Linked DNA regions of Schizosaccharomyces pombe. The protein of the gene in region 1 interacts with the protein of each later gene in a pairwise test. Each region holds a gene or a part of one and is shown in the gene's direction. Other genes may lie near its edges. The genes, in order: mrp17 and phx1.

Region 1 (10,912 bases):
TGTTTCTGGAACAAAGAAGTGATATCAGATTCATCCACCGGATATCCCCAAAGTTTTAATGCTTCACTTGGAGGAAAGTGTAATGTTGGACCATAACCGTCAATTTCACCATATGCAGGGGAGCGTGGATCGCCAAAACGACCATTTGTAAAATCGTCCCAATTTGCTTGACGACCTAAAACTCCACTACCTTCAGAAACGGAGAACGGTGCTTCTTCGGTTAAATTGTCTTTGTGGCCAGATACACTACTTTGTTTAGAAGTTACGAAAAGATTCGACGATTTGTCGGCAACTGGTTGCTGAGAGGGAACAACTACTTGATTATGAAGTTCCGCGGGTTCATCAAGGCTAAGACGTTTGCGGGTTGTTCGAAGCAATTTCTCATCCTCCATCTCTGACTCAACCTGTTTCCAACGTTTGGTAAGCAAACCGCTGTTTTTAAGGATAAGAGCAACGGATCGTTCCAAATTCAGTGTGCAAAAATGAAATCCATGCACCCGGCCTTGCACATTGTCCATTATCTTTTTAATCATATCAACTATGTGCTCGACACCAATGTTTTTTATAGCTTCATCATCTGGTTTAGCTGCATTAAGGCGCTGCATTAAGGAAGAGGGAACACTGCAACCACAAAGACGAGTCATTCTTTTAAGACTTCCATAGGATTGAATAGGCATAATGGCGGGAATAATGGGAATATTTCGTAAAGCATTAGAGCTATGATTCCTAACAAAATTTTCAAATTTAATAAAAGCTTCGGGCTCGTAGAAGATTTGAGTAATTATGAAATCAGCGCCAGCTTCAACTTTTTCAATCAGGAAAGGAATGTCTCGTAACGGATCTTTAGACAGCTCCGGAACGTTGGAATCGACATGACCTTCAGGATAAGCAGCGACACCTATACAAAAGTAATCTCCATATTTTTCACGTATGTATCGTACTAAATCCACCGCGTGCTCAAACTCACTAACCTTTCCTTCCCAATGATCGCTATTTAAAGGCGGGTCACCTCGCAAGGCCAAGATGTTACGAATTCCATATTCCTTAGCAGTTTCGAGAGCCTTATCGATTATGGCTTTATCTACATTGGTACACGTCAAATGTAAACAAGCTGGGATTTTGTGATGCTGCTCTAGCATTTTGGCTAAATAAATTGAGACCTCCGCAGTAGAACCAGCTGTACCCCATGTTACACTAGAAAATAATGGCATCATGTTTCGCGACATTCTCGTTATACGACTAGAAAGATTTTCCAAACCGACTGTGGTTTTCGGTGGAAAATACTCAAATGAGTAGAATGCGTTTCCATTAGGAATTTTATCAATCAAATCAACAATCTTCATGATTGCTTAGGGATATCGAAGCAAAATTGAAGGTATTTGAGGTGTGCGCTTAGGAAATGCCCTCTTCGCGATAAGTTGAATCAAATCATGGATTCGATGTAGTAACGATTTCTTACAAATTTTGGTTAACATCACTATAAATACAATAACCCATAAATTAGTACTACACTAAACAATAGCAGACTTTGCTGCAATGCTTAACTGCTTGTGTCAAGGTTTACTGAACAGTAAAGACTAAACGTATTTGCGCAGAAAAGTTGGTTGATATTTCAAACTCCAACATTAATTATTGTTTGATGGGAATTACATTCATGAATAATAGTTTTTGTTTATGTATATCTTAGGTCAATTTGCTAATACTTAGTGCCACGTTGATAGCATATCATAGCATTTCTTTTAAAATCAATGTTTTCAAAAAGGTCCTTTGGTAACTACAGATGTTTATTAATAACCATAATAGTGATAACTTTTAATTCCGGTTTTCAACTATCTCTGAGCTACATATCCTGATATAACCAATAAAATACTCAAACTTGGAAATTGTTTTGATGATTTAATAGGACATCATTAAATAAATAAAAGGTTTCCTTTCAGAAATAGAAATCAGATTTCTGACAACCCGAAATATGCTTCCCATATTCAATAGCTCTCACATATGTTCATATAATAATCCACGGCTCTTATGTCAACTGGGGATCACTATTTTTCCTATTATTTTTAGACTACAGAGATTTTTGAACAAGTGAGGCATTTTTTAATGAAGCAGCTTCAACAGTGACAGACGGATCATCTTCGAGAGTCTTTGCGGGGAAAGGTACGGAAAGGATGAAGTTGCCTGGTGAAACGGCGCGTACAGCTTCATAGATATCATGAAGTGTATGCGAGAGATTGACAGTAAGGACAGTTCTTCCACCATTTGATAAGCGTACTTGAATTCTCGTGGTGGGTTTATTTTCGTCAATCTGTAAAGATGCATGCGGAGTTGTTGAATTGGGTTTGACATTTATAGGAACAGAGGAAGAAGTAGAAGTATCAGTGTAAAGACCACCTGGCATTTGAGACATTCGTGGTTGCATGTAGGTAGAACCGAGACGTTGTCCCTTGCCTGAAAAAGGTTTGAACGGCGCTACATAATCCTCATCCATCCGATGCTGAACTACAACATCAATTGGTTGATTCATAGATACTCCTAGAAGATGCAAAGGTGCTCGACCGCTATTTATATAACGCAACATTTCTTGATTAGCGGGATCGTCATATGTATAGATAGGACCATCGTCTACACTAAAACCATTTCGCCAAAAGTACAAAGTACGACGTAAAGGCTTTTCTGGTTGACTCTCAGTAGGAGGATTTTCACGCGGAGGACCTGACTGCGTTACAGGAGTGGTCGAACCAGAAGCCTCATTTTCTGTGCCTAATCGTTGTCCGACACTAGCCCAAGACGATGCAAGACTAGAAGGACCTGAATCTTGCTCATCTAAAGGAGATATTGTGTGTTGACGTGCCTTTTCGAGAATATCGCGCACCAACTGTTTCTTTGGATCAGGATCACCGTCTTCTACAGAAAGCCCACTCTTCTCACCACCAGTAAAGAGATGTGATTTCTCTTCTGCACTTTCATCATTTCCCTCTAAATCCCTAAGCGTGGCGAATTTTTTTGATGCAGTTCCTGACTTCATTCCTTGGCCTTGAGTATTTTGTTGTCTTTGCAACGGTCGAGGTGGTTGTTGATCACCACCACTGATTCCACTTGAGCTTCCAGTAACTTCAGGAACTTTCGATACATCACTGGAAGGTTGCAACCCATGGTCTTCTTCAGGAGGTATTACTTCATGTAAAAGTGCAGTAGCCAATTCATAATTCCAATTCGTGGACTCTAAAAAAAAACGGCCCTGACTAACGTCAATATTATTGCGATTGCAAAATTCCTTTAAGATATCTTCCCTATCCATTTTACTTCTGAAAAAAAGAGAAGAAAGATTTCAAGTTCTGTAGTGTTTTTTTTAGCTGTAGAACAAACAAGTAGAAATGTGAAGTCAATTGATGACTAAAACGTGTTTGACTCTTTCGATCAATCTTCTTTCAAAAAAAATCAAGATTTCTTTGATGATATACTGCTAATAGCTGTAAATATCCTTTGTTGGTAACTGCTTGTAGTTGGTAAATTTCACGTTCATCTAATAAAGAGAATCTTGCTAAATAAGTTAAGTAACAAATATACGACCCAAACGTTTCGTGTTTTTCTCCTTTACGTTTGCTTTATATTTACTTTAATGTTAATATATTCTTTTCTTTTTAGACTGTAATTTACGAAACAGAAGTTTTTAGTGCTTAACTCAAACCTCTTCTTTTCCTAGCGTACCGCCAAACCTCTCACTTACAGACGCTAGTAAAAAGGTCACACGATAACAAGCACTCTTGATAGTTTGAAAAGTATAGCAATATAATGGTTATGTATGAACTTTTTTGTATAACTAGGCCAGCTGCAAATGCAACACGCACTTCCTCACCAGTAAGTTAGCGGTAATACCTCGTTTTTGCTTTTTGAAGAACCACAAAGCGATAGTCATTATCTCATTACTTTCTAGATACTGTTTTACAATTTGAATTCATGAACTAATAAATTTAGACTCTGGCCATGAATATTGCCAAAAATTGTGGTCGAGCAATCCTGGATAACAAAGGTGTGGTCGTTGATGTTGAGTCCATGGGACTTAAGGAACTGGCTAAACCTATAAAAAAACTAAATCAATCTTACTCTTTTGGTCACTGGTGGTCTATGACCTTTTACAGTAACCCCACAGTTCAATCTGAGATACAGAGGATTCTGAGACTTGAACCTTCGGTTCTTCGCTATATGATCGTCAAAAAAGCAGATAAGTATGTTCTTTTTATAAACTATTTTATTATACTAATTCCTTTTGTGTAGATTGAGTGATTTAATGTAGAATGAGCGTATTCATATTTTGAGAAAATAAAAATATTCGCAGAGCTGTCCAATTATCTTTTATTATTCTTGTTTTTTTGGGGTTTTTTCTTCTTTTCTTCTTTTATAAAATAAACATACTTTTCCAGAGCTAAAATGTGAAATTTCAACCGTTGTTAACGACTCCTTGTGTTTCAACTTTTTCCGATCTTCTTTGTATAATACTATGTCCCTAAATTTCATGGGAGATAGATTAAAAAAAAGAACTGTTAAAATATTTAAACGACAGGTACTGATATTATGTCCTTTAGACATATCTTGCTTTTATTTATTGGTTTAATACAATGTTGGTTAAAGGCGATAGTGAAGTTTTGAATGTGGAGTGTTTTATGCCGAATTTATGGCTTGGGTTTAGGTTTTCGTTTGAAATCACCGCTTCACGTAGCTTAGCGGCACATGAATCTAAACGAGTTGGTAATGTTTGTCTAGGATCGCTATACCCGTGCTGCTGTATAGATTGTATTAGAGGTTGAGGCCATTCCTGATGATACTCTAAAATTTGTGGTTCAGTAGCCATTGGAATTGTTAGAGAGGGCGATGGAACAACTGGAGGGTAAGATTGGCTAAATATAGCACTCAGTCGCTTTTTGCGATCTTCTCTCTTTTCTGCATAATTCACGAATAATCTTTTCTTTCCGAATAACACTCCATTTAACGTGTTAATTGCTTGCACAGCTTCAAATGGATGACTGAAGGATACGAAACCATAGCCTTTGGATATTTCTGTACTGGGATACGACGCTAAAGTGCAAGATTTTATCCTTCCAAATTTCGAAAACAGTTCTTCTAATTGTTGTGTGTTTCCTACTATATTATCATCCAAGTTTTTAACAAATAAATTACAAGGATCAATTGTCGGTGTTGAGGTTGGTGTTGGCGTTACTGTCGTTTCATACGATGTTTGGAAAGAAGGGAATGAAATAAATGGATTTGGCAAAGCAGAAGTTTTGGCAATCACTGGAATTTCAAACGGCTGAGGCATTTCCATATTTGGGGGCAATAAATTTGTCATGGTTCCTTCTGGGTGATTTAACAAATTAGAGCAAAATCCCTGAACAGGTTGTTTTATAAAAAGTTGTAAAATGGATCCTTCATACGCAATGGCGTGAAATTTTTCAATGATCTAAATTAAAAGGTCAGTAATGCTATAGCAAAAAATAGCTTGCTTAATACCTCTATGCAACTTTCATAGGTGCTCACAGCCACTTCTGCGTAGTGAGTCATATCTTCATTTATGCTTTGATTGATGGCTACACCGAGAATGTGACCATGATTGCTAAACTCATTGTAAAGCTCGACTGGTGATACTTTCAACGGAAGGTTTAAAATCCCAATCACAAAAATAGAAGGGTTGTCGTACAAAAATTGGGGATTCTGTTCTAGAAGCATACCTGGCATCATTTGACAGGGTTCAAAAGCAGATTTTAGGTGTAAATGTTCCGTGTTATTTTCCTTATATGGCTCAATAAAAGTGTTAGAAATGGACGGTGTATTATTATCTTTGCAATTTGGCCTGATAGACAGATGCTTTGGCTCATTCTCCGTGAAATCTGAAACTAAGAGTGTTTGAACTGCTTTTGAGCTAAGTATACTAGTTCCTGTTGCTTCTGCAAATGCATTCTCTTTGTCGTGCACTTTTGGGGGGTTTGATTGAACTAAATTTGAGGTATTCATCGAATATTCCTTTTTGTCTTTGGTACTAACTCGAACCTCTGATACTGTCGGTCGTGTTTCCTTTGTATACTTTTCTATTTTTGAAAACCGAATTTTTGCTTTTTCATTATTCGAGTGATGAATTTGGTCAACTCCATTTTCCAACTTATTTTTGTATCTCTCCACGATATGCGTATACTCGACCTTCCTATAATTGTTGCTCTATTAGCGTTTATTATTTTAAAATCTACGTACAAAGTATTTCCTTGGAACGAACTCCCGTTTAAGGAGGCAATTGCGTTGTCAGCGCTACATTTGTTTTCAAATGTGATAAATGCAAATAAAGTTGGGGATTTAGAGTCAGTACTCTTATTCTTCTTTCTACTTAGCATGTGGAATTTTGAGAAATTACCTTAAACAGTTAGAGAAAAAATTGTTTATTCATATACGATTACCGAAAGGTTCAAACAGTTCATGAAGATCTGAGCTTTGGCACGTTGAAGGTAAATTCCCTACGTAAATGGAAATTTCACACTTCTTAGTGCTCCTTTTGTTCTTTTCTGAAAGTTTTTCAAGTGCAATCATTGTGATGTGTCTAGTTGGTAATTATAGAATTCGGAATTCTCAATGTAAACAAAAGTAAACAGGAAATTACCGCAATGTTAGCTGTTCATAAGCAATTTAATGTAGTATCCTATATTTCGTAAAGCTTTAAGGTAATCGCATAGTATGTGCTATTTTAAATTGTGAAACTTACTACACAGCCTTTATTACATATTTGTCTCAGCAACCCTCTGTGGTATAGGTGAACCACAAACTAATTTTAATTTCTCAAACCTATGCTTGAAATTCTATGGGCTAACATTACTCCAATTCAAACCTTTGTCTCCAGTAATCATTTAACTATGCTTTATGGGCTCAAACGGTTTGGATGTCGCCTTTATCATCATAGCAAATCTACACGATACATTGACGCTACAGCGAAAGTAGTCTCTCAAGAGCCTGCTGCCATTAGCAGTACTGGAGCTATTCCATTAAATTCTCCAGCGGCCCCTTTATTATCACAAGATGTTCTTATAGTAGAGAGGCAACTTGAAATGATGAATGTTTTTCTTGGTTATGAACAGGCTAACCGCTATGTAATTCTTAACCAACAAGGTCAGCATCTTGGATACATTGCAGAACAGGGTGCCTCATCCATATTATCAAGTTTATCAAGACAATTTTTCCACACACATCGTGCGTTTAAGGCAGATGTAATGGACAGTAACGGCCAGTTGGTGTTACAACTCAATCGACCATTTTCTTGGATAAACTCCCGGTTACAAATTCATTCTATTGATTACAGTAAGTTCTCGTCTACTTTAGTTGGCGAAGTCCTTCAAAAATGGCATTTATGGCGCCGTCGCTATGAATTGTTCCTTGCGAAGCGTTCTATGTTTGAACAGTTTGCCAAAATTGATGAGCGAGTGCTAAGTTGGGAGTTTCTGTTGCGAAACGAGCAGGATCGCATCCTAGGTAGTGTTTCACGGAATTTCATGGGGCTTCCTCGTGAATTTTTTACTGATACTGGTAATTACGTTCTTCGATTTACCTCTACGAGTGCAGCCAATGGTTCTGTAAATGAAAATCAATTGCTTCAAGCTGCTCATGGAATCGCTAATGATGTTTGTGCACGTGATATGAGTTTAGAAGAAAGGGCAGTTATGCTAGGCAGTGCTGTCACTATTGATTTTGATTATTTTAGCCGTATTCATGGTGGCCCAGCACTGGGACTGAATATTCCGTTTATGTTTGGAGGTTCTTCCTCCAACCACGATTATCCAGCTGAAGACCTGTCTGCTCAGGAAATTTTAAAAAACGACCAGGAAACTACGCCTTCCACCAATGATTCTTCATCTGAAACGAAGTCTCCTTTTTTGTCTGATGCAGACTTGGATCAGCAAGATTTTTGGGATATTTTTGACCGTGACGGGGATGATTGATTGTTCAACTGATTATTATTTATTTATTAACGATATATCCAAAAAGATACTTTTTCTCCTTAAAAAGTTAAATCTGATTAGTCATTACTATTACTGTTTTTATTATTATTATTATTATTACTATCCCTTCTAGTCATTATTTTGTTTTTCTCATAATTTACAACTACTGACTATATCACTGAATTTATTTCTTCAAAAGAGTTTGTTGAAGACGGCTTGTATTTGTGTAAATATATTATTTCGAGAAGCGGTTGATTCGCGATTTAATGTGCAAAATTACTTAGGACATATATTTGGATAACGTGAAAGCAATGTTTACTGGAAGTCTGTATTATCAAGCTAGTAGTCTATAGCCAGCAAAAACTAGAATTAAAAACTTAGTTGTTCAAAAAATAATTACTCAGTCAGAGTGTGAAACTTGTCCTCAATCTTCTTGTGCAGAGTTTCATAGTGTTCGACTATTTCCTTCTCGCCTTCATTAGGGTTTTCGAATTTCATCGAGGTTAACTCATAAAAGATATCTGAAGTACTTTCTTTAATCTTTGACCAAGGAACGCTACCAGTTTCAACGGCACTTTTAGCCTTTGTGTAGTAAGCAATCATGTTTCGCATCATATGATAAGTCTTGTAAAGAGGGCAACAGCGATCGTAATCAGAATAACCGTTTTGTTGTAAGAAGTCATTCTTAATAATACCGGCTATGTCCAAAGTAACTTTATCCGTTTCAGAAAGAGCCGACTTACCAACCAACTGAATAATTTCCAACATGGAATCTTCTTGTTGAATGATCTGTTTGATTTGATCACGAAGAGTATTAAAGCCTGGAACTCTTTCCTCATACCAAGGTTGCAAAGCATTGATGTATTTAGAATAGGAAAGAGAGGTGTTGATTGAGGGAAAGTGTTTACGTTGGGCCAATTTCTTGTCCAAACCCCAGAAGACTTGAACAATTCCCAAGGTTGCACTAGTAACAGGATCAGAAAAATCACCACCCGGAGGAGAAACAGCTCCAACAATTGAAACTGTTCCTTCACGGTCAGGACTTCCCAAGCAACGAGCACGACCAGCACGTTCGTAAAAAGAAGCCAATTTGGCACCCAAATAAGCGGGATAACCAGAATCGGCAGGCATCTCAGCCAAACGACCAGAAATTTCACGCAAAGCTTCAGCCCAACGAGATGTAGAATCAGCCATCATTGAAACGTTCTTACCTTGATCACGATAATATTCAGCAAGTGTAATACCGGTATAAATGGAAGCTTCACGAGCAGCGACAGGCATGTTAGAAGTGTTGGCTACCAATGTAGTACGCTTCATAATGGGCTCTGGTTTACCATTAATATCAATTGTTAGTTCTGGGAAATCCATTAACACTTCTGCCATTTCGTTTCCACGTTCACCACAACCGACGTAAACAATCAAATCAGAATTAGAGTACTTAGAAAGAGATTGTGAAATAACTGTTTTACCACAACCAAAGGCACCGGGGATAGCAGTAGTGCCACCTTGAACACAGGGGTATAACGCATCCAAAACACGTTGACCAGTCAATAAAGGTTGATTAGCAGTTAAGTTGTCCGCAACTGGACGAGCAGCACGGACAGGCCAAGTATGCAACATACTAAAAGAATGTTTCTTGCCATTAAACTCGACTTCAAGAAGTTTTTCATCAACATGGTATGATCCAGCTTCAGCAATATATGTGACGGTACCACGGGCTCTAGGGGGTAACATAATTTTATGATCATTGAAAAGAGAGTTTTCAAATACAGAACCGAAAACATCACCACCGGATACATGATCGCCAATGCGTAAATCCTTATTTGGTGTGAAATCCCACTTATGCTCACGATTAAGTGATTCTGTATTAATACCTCTAGGAATATAAATACTTTGAGATTTGTCGAAAATTTGCTTTAACGGACGTTGGATACCATCATAAATAGTCTCAGCTAAACCAGGACCTAATTCAACAGATAATGGCTTTCCAGTGCGTTGGACAGGATCACCAACAGTGAGACCGGACGTCTCTTCGTATACTTGAATAGTACATTTATCTTGATGGATACGAATTACTTCACCAACTAGTTCTTCATGACCAACGCGAACGAGTTCGTACATCGAACATCCAAGCATATTGGCTGCAACAACGACTGTAAATGTTTAGTAGAAAGCTCCAACTAACGATTTCTTACCAGGACCAGAAACGCTGAAAATAGATCCATATCGGTTTTCATGCTCGTCGTAATTTTTGAGGCTCCTGATAGCCTTCTTGGCCAGTTCAATTCCTCCCGCCTATCAAATTTGTTAATAAAAAAGAGGACTAGAAGTATTCAGCTAATTATCTTACCATCTTCTAATAATATATTTATTCTGGTGGAGTAGGTAAAGGATAGGCGTCTAACACTTTCGTTGCAGTAACGAAACGCTACATTCAATACAACGATAACCTGTAGGTCATATCGGTAAAAAGATCTTTACAAATACAAAGCCCAAACAATCGCGAATAAATAAATTATTCAAGATTCCTTGCTAAATAATAAACGGAATTTATTTATGAGTAATCACTACGGTTTAAGTTTGCTGTGAAATGTTCACACTGTATTCAATCTATTCATCTGTGCATTCTCGTGTAGACACATACCGATGGAGTTTTTTTTATATTTTGCAGAAGTGGAATTGATTATAAATTGGCACATATCACAGTGACCTGCTAGAAATGTCAGGAGCTTTACAAAGGAGCTAACAAGTGCAGTGAATTACAAGTGTTCTCCACATTAGATGCCTATTATTAATATAGTTAAAATTAGATAACCAGCGGTAAGATTATAAAACCAGGATTTGACTTCAACTACAATTTTTGCATGTTTGATGCAGAATTGTGTCAAACCAAGATTTTACAAAGTCACGCATTAAATATCAAATTAATGAGTAGAGATTTC
Region 2 (12,555 bases), 800 kb from region 1:
GTTTTGGGAAGAATTTCGTTCTTATTATGAGTATATGGGTCGTCCAAGTGCCCTCGATTATGCTAAGCGTTTAACTGAGTATTGTGGTGGTGCCCATATTTGGTTGAAGCGTGAAGACTTGAATCATGGTGGTTCACACAAAATTAACAACTGTATTGGGCAAATTCTTCTTGCCAAACGTTTAGGAAAAAACCGTATCATTGCTGAAACTGGTGCTGGTCAGCATGGAGTTGCTACTGCTATCTGTGCCGCTAAATTTGGTATGAAATGTACTATCTACATGGGTGCAGAAGATTGTCGTCGTCAAGCACTCAACGTTTTTCGCATCCGTCTTTTGGGAGCTGAAGTCGTTCCGGTTACTTCAGGTACACAGACCCTTCGTGATGCTGTTAACGAAGCTTTGAAGGCGTGGGTCGAACAAATAGACACCACTCATTATTTAATTGGATCTGCAATTGGCCCTCATCCATTCCCTACCATTGTTAAAACTTTCCAAAGTGTCATTGGCGAGGAAACGAAAGCGCAAATGCAAGAGAAGCGTAAAAAACTTCCTGATGCAGTTGTTGCTTGTGTTGGTGGTGGATCCAATTCGATTGGAATGTTTTCTCCCTTCAAAGCCGATAAAAGTGTAATGATGTTGGGTTGTGAAGCTGGTGGTGATGGTGTAGATACCCCCAAACATAGTGCTACATTGACTATGGGAAAAGTTGGTGTATTTCATGGAGTTCGAACATATGTTCTGCAACGCGAAGATGGACAAATTCAAGATACTCACTCTATATCTGCTGGATTGGATTATCCAGGTGTGGGACCCGAATTATCTGAACTTAAATATACCAATCGCGCAGAGTTTATCGCTGTCACTGATGCTCAATGTTTAGAAGGATTCCGCGCTCTATGTCATCTTGAAGGTATCATTCCCGCTTTGGAATCTTCTCATGCTGTGTATGGTGGAATGGAGCTTGCTAAAAAGTTACCTAAAGATAAGGATATTGTGATCACCATTTCAGGTCGTGGTGACAAGGATGTTCAAAGCGTAGCTGAACAACTTCCTATTTTAGGTCCTAAAATTGGATGGGACCTTCGCTTTTAAGCAATGTTCTACTCACGATTTTCTGATTTATATTAAGGCTCCGTAAACTTAAGCGGAGTTGCGATCTATAGATATACAAGCATCGCATGCGATTAAACTTTTTTATACCAAAACATATGTGTATTTCTTTTTATCTATAAATATCATTTCAATTTTGCTTCTACTATTTACTAGCCTTAAATAGCGTTGTAGTCATGTAATAACCTGTACATAATACTGTACTTATTTACCTAATAAAGGTTTTCTGTGGATTTAATTTCTTAGGCTAATTTTTCAAAGGCTTAAGAGAATTATGTGTATGCTGAAGAAGAACATTCAACAAAGCGGTTTTCTTTAGTCTATGATTTTGAGAATCATGTCCTATTTACACTACAATGCAAGTGCAAAAAATGTTTTAAAACAATTTATCAGCACGAGCAAGATGTCGTAGTATTTTCAATTTATATGGTTTTGGCTTTTTAGAGTCGCGACATAGTCTATTAACATAAGCTTTAATCTTTGGTATATTAGCAAATCTTCCAGATTGAAGTTAGCAGTTTATGGAGAGAAAATAAAATTCTTTCTGTATATTCGCCTAATAAGACCACTCAAGTCTTTAGCACTGAATAATAAAAAGTGTCACAAATCTTTGAACTATGGTAAAACTCCCAATTACAATTACTTAAGTTCGCACTCCTAAAACAGCATTACCCGTAGAATAAATTGAAAAAAAAGTATAAAATCAAACAAGTGGTACAGATCAAATTTTTAAAAATTTAGTAATGTTTCTATGTTTTTATATTACAATATTCAGATAGGTAGTATTCTCGCTTACAGTTTAGACAGTAAATGTAACATTAGTGTTTCTCCACAATTCCCCACATAGTTAATAGTAAAGTTGAGGACAAAATTATGATTTATCTATATATTCTATGAATTACATATGACCCTAGATGTACCCATTCGACAAAAGTATCCTTCAAATAATAGGTCTTAAAAACAAAGACTTGCTCATTAGAAGCAATCGATCGTTCATTCACTTTACTAAAGGATTTACCAATATGTATTGGGGGCGTCGTTTCTAAGGCAAGGTAGTACGTTAGAGTTCGTAATATAATTGTTCGGTTAGTTAAGTGAAGAGCGATATGTGAATTAAAACCACCACATCAACCATATAAAAACTACATTATTTATGAAACCATAAGCATTCTGTTTAATTCATTAAATTAGGACAGAAATTAATTAGGCTCTTGCAAGGATCAAATTGGAGTGAAATTGCATCTCTTTACGATATTTCAAGTTGTGTTTTATTGCATTAGATTTAGAGGAGCAATCAGCAACGATCTATTAGCAGTGAACGTTAACGAATATCTCAATTACATTCGGATCTTTAATTATTTGGTTTATTTATTTTTTTAATAACAAAAAAGGGAAAGAAAAATTGGGGAAAGAGAAGGGAATAATTATATTGTTAATTTTGCAATATTTTTTATCATTTAATTAGCAAACTTTTATTATTTAATTTTTAGGCAAATTTGACAACTCATCTCTTCATTTAGTCAATTTTTATTTGTTTTGACATTTGTGAGATATCCAGGGATCGATAGCCTCTGTCTACAAAGGGTCGTGTCTCTTAGTTTTCGTCAATCAGTTTCTTTCAAGATCTAGAAGGCGTACTAATTATTTCTACTTGGAGACTTTAAAGCTTGGGTATTGCTTGTCCACTGTGCTTATGTATCTGAACATAGCTACAATCTCTGCTACAAAAGCTAAAGAGAGAAGTCCCCTCCAAGAAGGGATCAAATTTATTTCGTTAGGGTTTTCTTCTGGTCAAACTTTTTTTTGGATAGGATAAGTTTTTAATTACAATAAATTCAGCGGCTGGGGTTTCATAAGTGCCCCATATTTCGAGGGTACCAGGTTCACGTTTTTTGCGTCTCCTCAAGTACTCAGAGATTCCACGGAATTTCTTTCAATTTAATTTTTTTTACATCATTTTATTTCTCTGAGCTTTCTTTAATTAATCTTCCAAAGTCACCATTCAATTTGCATTTCTTGGCATACTTTTTGAAGCAAATTTTTATTTCTCATAAGGATTTTATTTTCATTTCATTTTATTTCTAAGAACAATATGCGTAGTTATTCGAACCCAGAAAATGGTGGTCAAATTAATGACAATATTAATTATTCTGAGAAGCGACCTACAATGCTCCCGGAGAATTTGTCCTTGAGCAACTATGACATGGATTCTTTTCTCGGTCAGTTTCCATCTGATAATAACATGCAATTACCCCATTCAACGTATGAGCAGCATCTTCAAGGGGAACAGCAAAATCCTACCAATCCTAATTATTTTCCTCCTGAATTTGACGAAAACAAAGTAGATTGGAAACAGGAGAAACCCAAACCGGATGCACCGAGTTTTGCAGATAATAATTCATTTGATAATGTGAATAGTTCGAAATTGACGAATCCATCGCCAGTTCAACCTAATATTGTTAAATCTGAGTCGGAACCTGCTAATTCAAAGCAAAATGAAGTTGTTGAAGCTACATCTGTTGAGAAAGCTAAGGAGAATGTCGCTCACGAAAGTGGTACTCCTGAGAGCGGCGGATCTACTTCTGCGCCAAAGAGCAAAAAACAGCGCCTTACTGCAGATCAACTTGCTTATTTGCTTCGGGAATTCTCCAAAGATACTAATCCACCTCCAGCTATAAGGGAAAAAATTGGACGCGAGTTGAATATTCCGGAACGTAGCGTAACTATTTGGTTTCAAAACAGAAGAGCAAAATCAAAGCTCATTTCAAGACGTCAAGAAGAAGAAAGACAAAGGATCCTTCGTGAGCAGAGAGAATTGGATTCCTTAAATCAAAAAGTTTCACAAGCATTTGCGCACGAAGTATTGTCTACTTCACCTACCAGTCCCTACGTTGGGGGAATAGCAGCTAATAGGCAGTATGCGAACACGTTATTGCCTAAACCAACTAGAAAAACAGGAAACTTTTATATGAAAAGTGGACCTATGCAATCTTCCATGGAGCCATGCATAGCAGAGTCAGACATTCCGATCCGTCAGTCTCTTTCTAGTACATACTACAATAGTCTAAGTCCAAATGCCGTTCCTGTCTCAAGTCAAAGGAAATACTCTGCCTCTTCTTATTCCGCAATCCCAAATGCTATGTCGGTATCAAATCAAGCTTTCGACGTAGAATCTCCACCCTCTTCGTATGCTACTCCACTTACAGGCATCCGTATGCCTCAACCAGAGTCAGATCTTTACTCCTATCCTAGAGAAGTGAGCCCTAGTTCTGGGGGTTACAGAATGTTCGGTCATTCCAAGCCTTCATCATACAAAGCATCAGGGCCTGTTCGTCCTCCTAATATGGCAACAGGGCACATGCGTACTTCTTCAGAACCGACCTCATATGATTCGGAATTTTACTACTTTTCTTGTACATTACTAGTAATTGGTTTATGGAAAAGACTACGAGCCTCTCCTCAGGATTTAATGTGTTTCTACTCTCCGCCAAAGAAATTATTTGCATATTTGATTCAATTCCAGGGGATTCAGTATCGTATTGAATATTCTTTTTTTGTCATTGAGTCGATACACGTTTTTAGAGTAGAGGAGCCCTTGTTAAATGAGTTGAGTGCAACTGCGTCTAGTCGAGATAAACCGGCACCAAATGAATATTGGCTTCAAATGGATATTCAGCTGAGTGTTCCACCAGTATTTCACATGATCACTTCCGAAGGACAGGGAAATTGTACGGATTTTACTGAGGGTAATCAGGCTTCGGAAGTTTTATTACATTCTTTGATGGGAAGAGCTACTAGCATGTTTCAAATGCTCGATCGGGTTCGAAGGGCATCGCCAGAGTTGGGGTCTGTAATCCGCCTTCAAAAAGGTCTTAATCCTCACCAATTTTTGGACCCTCAATGGGCTAATCAACTTCCTAGACAACCTGATAGCTCTGTATTTGATCATCAAGGAAGAAACCCTCCTATCCAGGGATTGTCTCATGACACTTCTTCTGAATATGGCAATAAAAGCCAGTTTAAAAGGCTTCGTAGCACTTCAACCCCTGCTAGACAGGATTTGGCTCAGCATCTTTTACCTCCGAAAACTAATACTGAAGGGCTTATGCATGCTCAATCTGTGTCTCCTATTACTCAAGCAATGAAATCTGCTAATGTTTTGGAAGGAAGTTCTACAAGACTAAACTCTTATGAGCCTTCAGTTTCATCTGCTTATCCGCACCATAATTTAGCGCTTAATCTTGATAACACGCAGTTTGGTGAGCTTGGCACATCTAATATATCATATCCTTTATCGGCACCATCCGATGTCGGCTCACTTCCTCGAGCATCCAATTCACCAAGCCGACCTGTGATGCATCCAAATACACAAGGTATTAACACGGAAATAAAAGACATGGCAGCGCAGTTTCCCAATTCACAAACTGGTGGTCTCACTCCAAATTCATGGTCAATGAACACAAACGTATCCGTCCCATTTACGACTCAAAACAGAGAATTTGGCGGCATTGGCTCTTCTTCAATTTCCACCACGATGAATGCACCAAGTCAACAGTTATCTCAGGTACCATTTGGAGATGTCTCCCTTGCTACTGAGAACTCTGTCCCGTCGTATGGATTTGAAGTACCATCTGAAGAGTCTGTTTACGCGCAAGCCCGTACAAATTCATCTGTTTCTGCTGGGGTTGCTCCTCGGTTATTCATTCAAACACCGTCTATACCTTTAGCATCATCTGCTGGACAGGATAGTAATTTAATTGAGAAAAGTAGTAGCGGTGGTGTGTATGCGTCGCAACCCGGAGCTTCGGGCTACTTATCTCATGACCAAAGTGGTAGTCCATTTGAGGATGTTTACTCTCCTTCTGCTGGTATAGATTTTCAGAAACTTCGTGGTCAACAATTTTCTCCGGACATGCAGTAAATTTTGTGATATGATGATTAACGGTACAATTGAAACTCGCTTGAAGCTTGCTTATTTTCGTTTTCTTTTGATAACGAGAAGATGTTTAACTCTTGAAAATTACATGCCTCGTTTGTATTTTTATGACCGCTTACGTTTTTATAAATTCATCAATATCTCTAAAAGGTTTAAAGGATTAATTTTTGATCTATATTATACAAGGTATTCTTGAATAATGTTTAATTTGGTGATAAAAATACAATTCCATGGAAAAAAATTGTGCTTCCATGTATTATTGTCTGGGAAGAACTTTGATGCGAAAAAAAAAATAAAAGACCTCTACAAGGCACTTCATATACGATTATGTATGGTTTATGTTTTTTTTACTTCTTTAATTTTATTTTATTTTATGTTCCAAAGCGATAGGAGGTATTACATATTGTTGTATCGTGTATGCAATACTTAATGATCCTAGCATTTCATTTGAAGAAACTCCGTCAATGATCGAATCCAAATTCCACTGAAAAAATGTAATGGAGTTTGAACAGTATCGTACCCACGAGCGTGAGTTGGATTATTGAGTTTTTGCATGTTTAGCCGACACATATTTTTTTGGCGACTTTAAACTTTTTTATTTACCATTTATTTCTCTTTTTAAGTTATGAATAATTTCTTTTTCCTCATGTATATTATTACTTTATTTTCATGTTTTTTTTTTTATTAATTTGACATTTAGGACGATTATTATTTTCGTTATTTCTCCTTTCCAGCGGGAACGTTTCAGCATCACAGTTTTTGCACATAAACTATAATAATTTTGAAAGCATTATGAGTTAATTTAGTAGAATTAGATTCTTTGAAACATAATCCATCAACGAAGCTGTCCGCCTTTTTTTTAAGAGGTGCATGCCATATATAGTCATTTTCTGTGTAAATAAACATTTCACTAGTAGATAATTTTTTGAGATGAGCAAAGAATTGAATGAACCAAAGTAATAATTGTTAAGATATAATATTAGAAAATTTATTTTAAAGATGTATATTAGAATGTATTTAGACTAAGCTCGTAATATATATTTTTTTCATTTTCTTAAAATTTATTTTGTTTTATTATAAGAATGAATTTATGTTTCATGAATGGAGAATATCAATAAAAAAATTGTTTGGAGGTGACAAATATATAAGATTTGCTTTTAATATCTATAAAATAATTTTTATCAGTTAGTACAAAAGTATAGGACAAAAATATGAACAATGATTTCGGGCGCCTACTTTGAAGGTGATGTTGTTTTTTGCTGATGCCTATAAGCTGAAGCTAAAGCAGCACACACCAGATTAGATAGATGATTGATTATACTGAAACACTCTAAGATACGGAAATTCTCCGAACAATAAGAAAGCCAAAAAAGAGAAAAAGAAGTGAAAGAAACGCCTTCCATATATCGATTGAACATTGCGACCAATCGATCAACTAACAAGAACAAGTAAGCCAGCCCAGCCCTTCTTCTTCCACTGTTTACCGAATAATGAAGAACAATATGTAGCAAGCCAGTAAATAGCGATACTTACTGCAATATATAACCACATCACATATTTAGCGCATGACGTAGTTTACTTCTTCAAACTACACTATAGTTTTGGACATGAAACGGTTGAACGTCAATATAGTGTCTTAATGACGAGAATGCACGTATTCTTGAACCTGTCATTACTAGAGTAGCCATTCTCATATGAGCCATTCTTTTATGAACAGGAGAGTGGATTGACACTAATACTTCGTAAGTAAAGATGATTATGCAAGTTTTCATGACGCCACAGCCTAATTCGAGTATGGCTGAGATAGTCATAACGTAAAGGCTTTAAATAAATGTATTTAATGTCGCCATGGTCCTATAAAGTTATAATCTTTGTACAGAATTGAAATAAAGTTGCGACAAGGAATTTTAGGAAAATAAAGCGAAACCATATATCTCTTTACTTAAGGAGGATTCCATCAAAGCGACATTTGATTATTTGTTTGATTGATCGCACTTGTGTGTCTGTCTATCCCATAACAAGAGGTTTTTACTGTAAAATCCTGATTTTGGAGTGCTGAAGAGGAAAGGATATCTTCAGTCTTGTTTATTTATCACTTTTACACTTGTAACCATCTGATATTAGCTGACGTGTCTCGCTTGTTACTATCATTAAGTGATTAATTGCTGCTAATCTTTTTCGCATTAGTCGTTGAGCAAGTATGGCGGTTGCTTATCCCACTGACAAGCATGTTGTGCATGAGGAAACTGGAAAAGGATTAGAAGTTTATTCAATATGGACAGCTATTTCGAACGGCAAGATGCCCTCGAACAAACAGCTTCGAGGGCTCGGTTCGTCGCTGACGGACGGTGCGAAATCCGTTGCCAAAGAGAGGCAAAAGAAAATCTCTGATCCGGCTCGGAAATTTTTTAGTGACTTTTCCAAGCTTATTGATAATAGCTTTAATGTATTTGCGAAAAAGAACGAAGGAGATTTGCTCCAAAACGCAATTTATGAATTATCGCAAGCTGAAGGCTCTACAAATGTTAATGAGGTTTGGAATGATATCACCGAAGATATGCAAAGTCAAGATTTCAGTACCGAGGACCTGAAGCAGTTGTTCTTGCTCATCTTTAACAATGGTAAACTGCGAACGCTTTTGCAAAACGCCATTGTACTTTTGGGCCAGCAAACAACGAATGTTGCCAGTAAAAAATTGAACGAGCAGGATGGAAAAAAATCGGATAACCTTCGCAATGGAGTGAACAAAGTTAAGCAAAACATGAGAAATGGAGCTTCCGCACGCGACCAAGCTCGCGAACAAGGAAGCAAGGCCAAAGATAAGATTAAAAATGATCCTGATGCGCAAAAGGCTAAAGAGGAAACCAAACAAAAACTTCAAGATCTTTACGAAGAGTTTAAATCTGTCGCTGTGGATTTGCAGGGAGATCCAAAATATCAGCATCCTGTTCGCAGTCTTTTGAATCTAATTGACAAGTTCATCGATAAACTCAGTGAACAGAGTGGAAATGTTACTGCTGACACTAACGAACATTACGATCGTGCTATGCAATATTTGAAGCAACTCGTGGAAAACATTTTAAATCGATCTCTTGATAATTTGATTGACACCTTAAAACAAGTACAGCATGATGCTGAGAATGATGAAGAACTAAAAGACTGGTTAGAATCTACCCGCCAGTTTGTTCGCAAGGTGCTTTTGAAAAAGGGCTATGCAAAAAGTGATGCCTCGGATAAAGAATTTAACAAGTTGCGAGATAAAGGCGATGAACTGCTTAACGGTCGGTACAAGAAACGTTGGCAACAACTCTCATCCGAAGTCAAAAAGATTTCCGATAGTGCTTCTTCCGACAAGGATGTCAAGCAATTATTTAGCAACTATAAAAATATATACGGCGATTTAATTAAGAGAGAAGGAGGACAAATCTCTTTGAAAACTTCCATGTGCCTGGAGATACTTCGATTGGGGGTACCCGTTATCTTGGAAAAGATGCAATATTTCCCAATACCTAGGTTGGAAATTGAGCAACCTGATTTCGACGTTGTTCTTGAAAACCTTAATTTACAAACCGCGAATGTTTTGCCCAAGTTAGCCGAATTTAGGAATAACAACTTCGTGAGGTTCTCCCCGTATGCTAATATTACTTCTTTCCGTGAAAACATGATAAACGTTCATCTCTCAAACATCCAGTGTGACTTAAAAGACGTCAACTACTATATTAAGCGCAAGCAAGGCTTCCCTACCTTTACTGATCTTGGAGTTGTCGATTTGTTAATTGGTAAGCAAGGCATGGTCGTGAACTTGACACTCTCATCATTCTCAAATACTATGTTTGAAAACGAACTTCCGGATTCCTTTTTTAAGGTGGAGGACGTGAAGGTGGACATACATCACATTAAGCTAAAAATTCGTAAATCAAGGCACAGGTTATTACTCGCTTTCTTAAAGCCCTCACTCATGACATACGTGAGATCTACCGTAGCAAGGTCCATGGAGCTTTCAATTCGTCATGCTTTTGAACAAGTCGATAGAGAATGGTACGAAATACATAAGGAAGCCAAATCTGAGATAGAAAAAGATTCTTCCAAGCCGACAGAAGATCAGGAATCAAAACTCAAGGTGTATGGTAGGGTGGCATATTCAAGGATTTCCAATCTTCATAAATCCAGTAAAGAAAAGGGTAAGGATTCTCAAGTTCGGGTTGCCCTGCACAAAGAAAATACTGCGCTCAATAACATAGTTTTGCCATCAGGTAATTTACAGCGTAGTGAGGAAAAGAGAAGGGCTGCGCTTTCCGGATCCACTTGGCATTCTCCTGCGTTCAATATATTTGGAGTCGATGATTCAGAAGACAGCGATAGCCCTTGGGCTACAGACAGAGGTTCTAGGCTTTATCAGAGAACTAAGGGTAGTGTCAAATCGCGTGAAAGTCGTTTGAAAAAAGAGAAGCATAAAAACCGTCCAGCTTCCAAGGGTACTTATACTACCTACACTTCTTCTGAAGAGCGCCAAAGGTCAACTGAGGATCCACTTAGTCATGACACTTTAAGCCGTACTATTTTGAATGATCAAATAGTGAAAGGAAATGTAACAGAAATTCCGTTACCTCCACTTGCAGTTAATGAGAAAAGAGCTAGCGTCGCTGTCTCTTCAATACCGAGTTTTGGCGACGACCAGCATGATATAGAATTATTAAATTCTACAGATCCCCGTAAAAACCGCATTTTGTATAATCAGCCACCCGCCGTGGCCTAACTTAACTAATGTGCGTGTCTTAAACTTACTAACCTTTTTCTCGTTGTTTAGTTTTAATTTGAGAACGAATTGTTATTATCTTTATTTATTAATCAAAATTTTTTTTCATTAATTCCTGAGTCAATTCTAGCTATAAAAGTAACTTTATAATATGATAGCATTTTATTACCGTATTCTGTACATGTCGTATTTAACTTATTTTACATCGCTGGTCGGAATAAGTAAGGAAAATAGGTTGTACATATTTTATTCGTTATATAAAAATAAAGCTAAAAATAAAATGAAAATAGTAAGTCGTAGAATATATTAGTAAGATTAAGCCAAATGAGATCAAAAGAATAAGCGTTTCATTACAAGAAGTCCTATAATTTATTTTGAATTTTAGAGATTGTTTGCTCTAAAGAAAATGGACTGCTTCGAGATGATGAAATCGACTTAGACATTTCACTGGACAGTGTATCAGAGGACTGCCAATCGCGTAGCGGAGGACGAATTAGTCTATAGGAAGGCGGTTTGAACGCATGTTTAACTAATAATTGAAAAGGTTTAAGCTCGTCCTTGTTTTGGTAGGATGAATGATTGAGATTCATTTCAAAAAAATCTTTTTTCGATCCTTGTATGAAATCATCATCTTTTAATGAATTGGCGTCATCTATTTTATCACTAAGCTTCATCTCGTCAAATGAACAAGATAAAGTAGAGCCAGTGACAGAATTGGTATCATCGATGGGCGTACAGGAAGAAGAGAGGAAATTGCTGGACGCAGAAGAAACTGTAGTACTCGTTGCGCCCTGCGAAGTAGGGGGAAGTGTATTGAGCATGTTTGAATGGTTTATTTTTATTACTGCCTCGTCATACAAGGACTTTCGCTGATCTGCCCAACCAACAATCGTATTGAAATAGCCAGCCGTTTCAGGCTCCCAGTATTCATCCTTCTCTTCAATCAGTTTTAAAGTTTTAATGGACTCCCTTGATTTAGTTTGAAGTGAACAAGCATTCATTTGGTCAGCCAGGTGCAATAAGATTGTGCGATTACCTTCCGACAAAACACTCTGACAACTTCTTCTTTGAGAGTTTGACATAATTTTAACAGTTTTATTAATTTTTCTTGGTTTTAAAATACGTTTAAAAGATCTACGGATCTTCCCAAAGATTCTGTTTTTTCTTTTGTTAGAAGAGGCAGTCAACGCAACAGGCTTCTGTGGGACGGTTTGCTGAAGTATAATAAGCCTACCGGTTTTATCGATAAGCATGGTGCAATTAGGAAAAACTGTTCTTTTAGACTCAGGAATTTCTGTACAGCGAGATTCAGCCCACACCCACCATATGTTTGTATTAGTTGTTACTGTAGTAAGACTTTCAAATGAGCAATGAGAAAATATCTCAAAATCGACATCTGGCAGCCGATAAGGTTTGTTAGGAAAGGGATAAACACATGCTGTATCATTCCCCGTTAGTAATGAATAAACTGTTTCTTGGGTACAAGTAGGTAAAATTGGATGATCAAACCCATTCTTAATAAAATCAGTCCAAGCAGATTCTTGGGCGGAAAAAACAGAATGATACGAACTTCGTTTGCTAACTTGTCTAAGAGCAAACAAACAATCATTTTGTATGTCATCGCTGGAGCGTGGCAGAGTAGCTGTTAAGTGATCAGGGATATTCATCTTAGTTACAATTTGAATCATTTCTAAAGGATCTCTTGTCATATAGTAGTTCATAGAAAATGTAAACACATGGGCTTTAGCATCA

Evidence for each region.
Region 2: the proteins of mrp17 (region 1) and phx1 interact in a two-hybrid assay, tested with the Schizosaccharomyces pombe proteins (one large-scale study listed by BioGRID).

What each region holds. Positions count from the first base shown.
Region 1 is NC_003424.3:1,646,670-1,657,581, reverse strand, and holds mrp17 (mitochondrial 37S ribosomal protein bS6m), read left to right. Parts: upstream 1-3,725; 5' UTR 3,726-3,792; coding exon 3,793-3,858; exon of another isoform or gene 3,859-3,975; coding exon 3,976-4,226; intron 4,227-4,275; coding exon 4,276-4,294; 3' UTR 4,295-4,600; coding exon of another isoform or gene 4,601-5,455; 3' UTR 5,456-5,505; coding exon of another isoform or gene 5,506-6,193; 3' UTR 6,194-6,240; coding exon of another isoform or gene 6,241-6,397; 3' UTR 6,398-6,440; coding exon of another isoform or gene 6,441-6,570; 3' UTR 6,571-6,659; downstream 6,660-10,912. Other genes in the region: methylenetetrahydrofolate reductase Met11, read right to left, coding at 1-1,343; UBX domain-containing protein Ubx3, read right to left, coding at 2,066-3,298; mug28 (RNA-binding protein Mug28, implicated in mRNA processing), read right to left, coding at 4,601-5,455, 5,506-6,193, 6,241-6,397, 6,441-6,570; pls1 (phospholipid scramblase), read left to right, coding at 6,825-7,970; vma1 (V-type ATPase V1 domain-containing subunit A), read right to left, coding at 8,367-10,123, 10,166-10,265, 10,321-10,323.
Region 2 is NC_003424.3:2,446,196-2,458,750, reverse strand, and holds phx1 (DNA-binding transcription factor, stationary phase-specific Phx1), read left to right. Parts: upstream 1-2,232; 5' UTR 2,233-3,203; coding exon 3,204-6,032; 3' UTR 6,033-6,958; downstream 6,959-12,555. Other genes in the region: trp2 (tryptophan synthase), read left to right, coding at 1-1,093; SPOM_SPAC32A11.02C (uncharacterized protein), read left to right, coding at 8,248-10,803; protein mug8, read right to left, coding at 11,166-12,555. UniProt on the Schizosaccharomyces pombe protein: Trnascription factor that regulates the expression of the homocitrate synthase (HCS) lys4.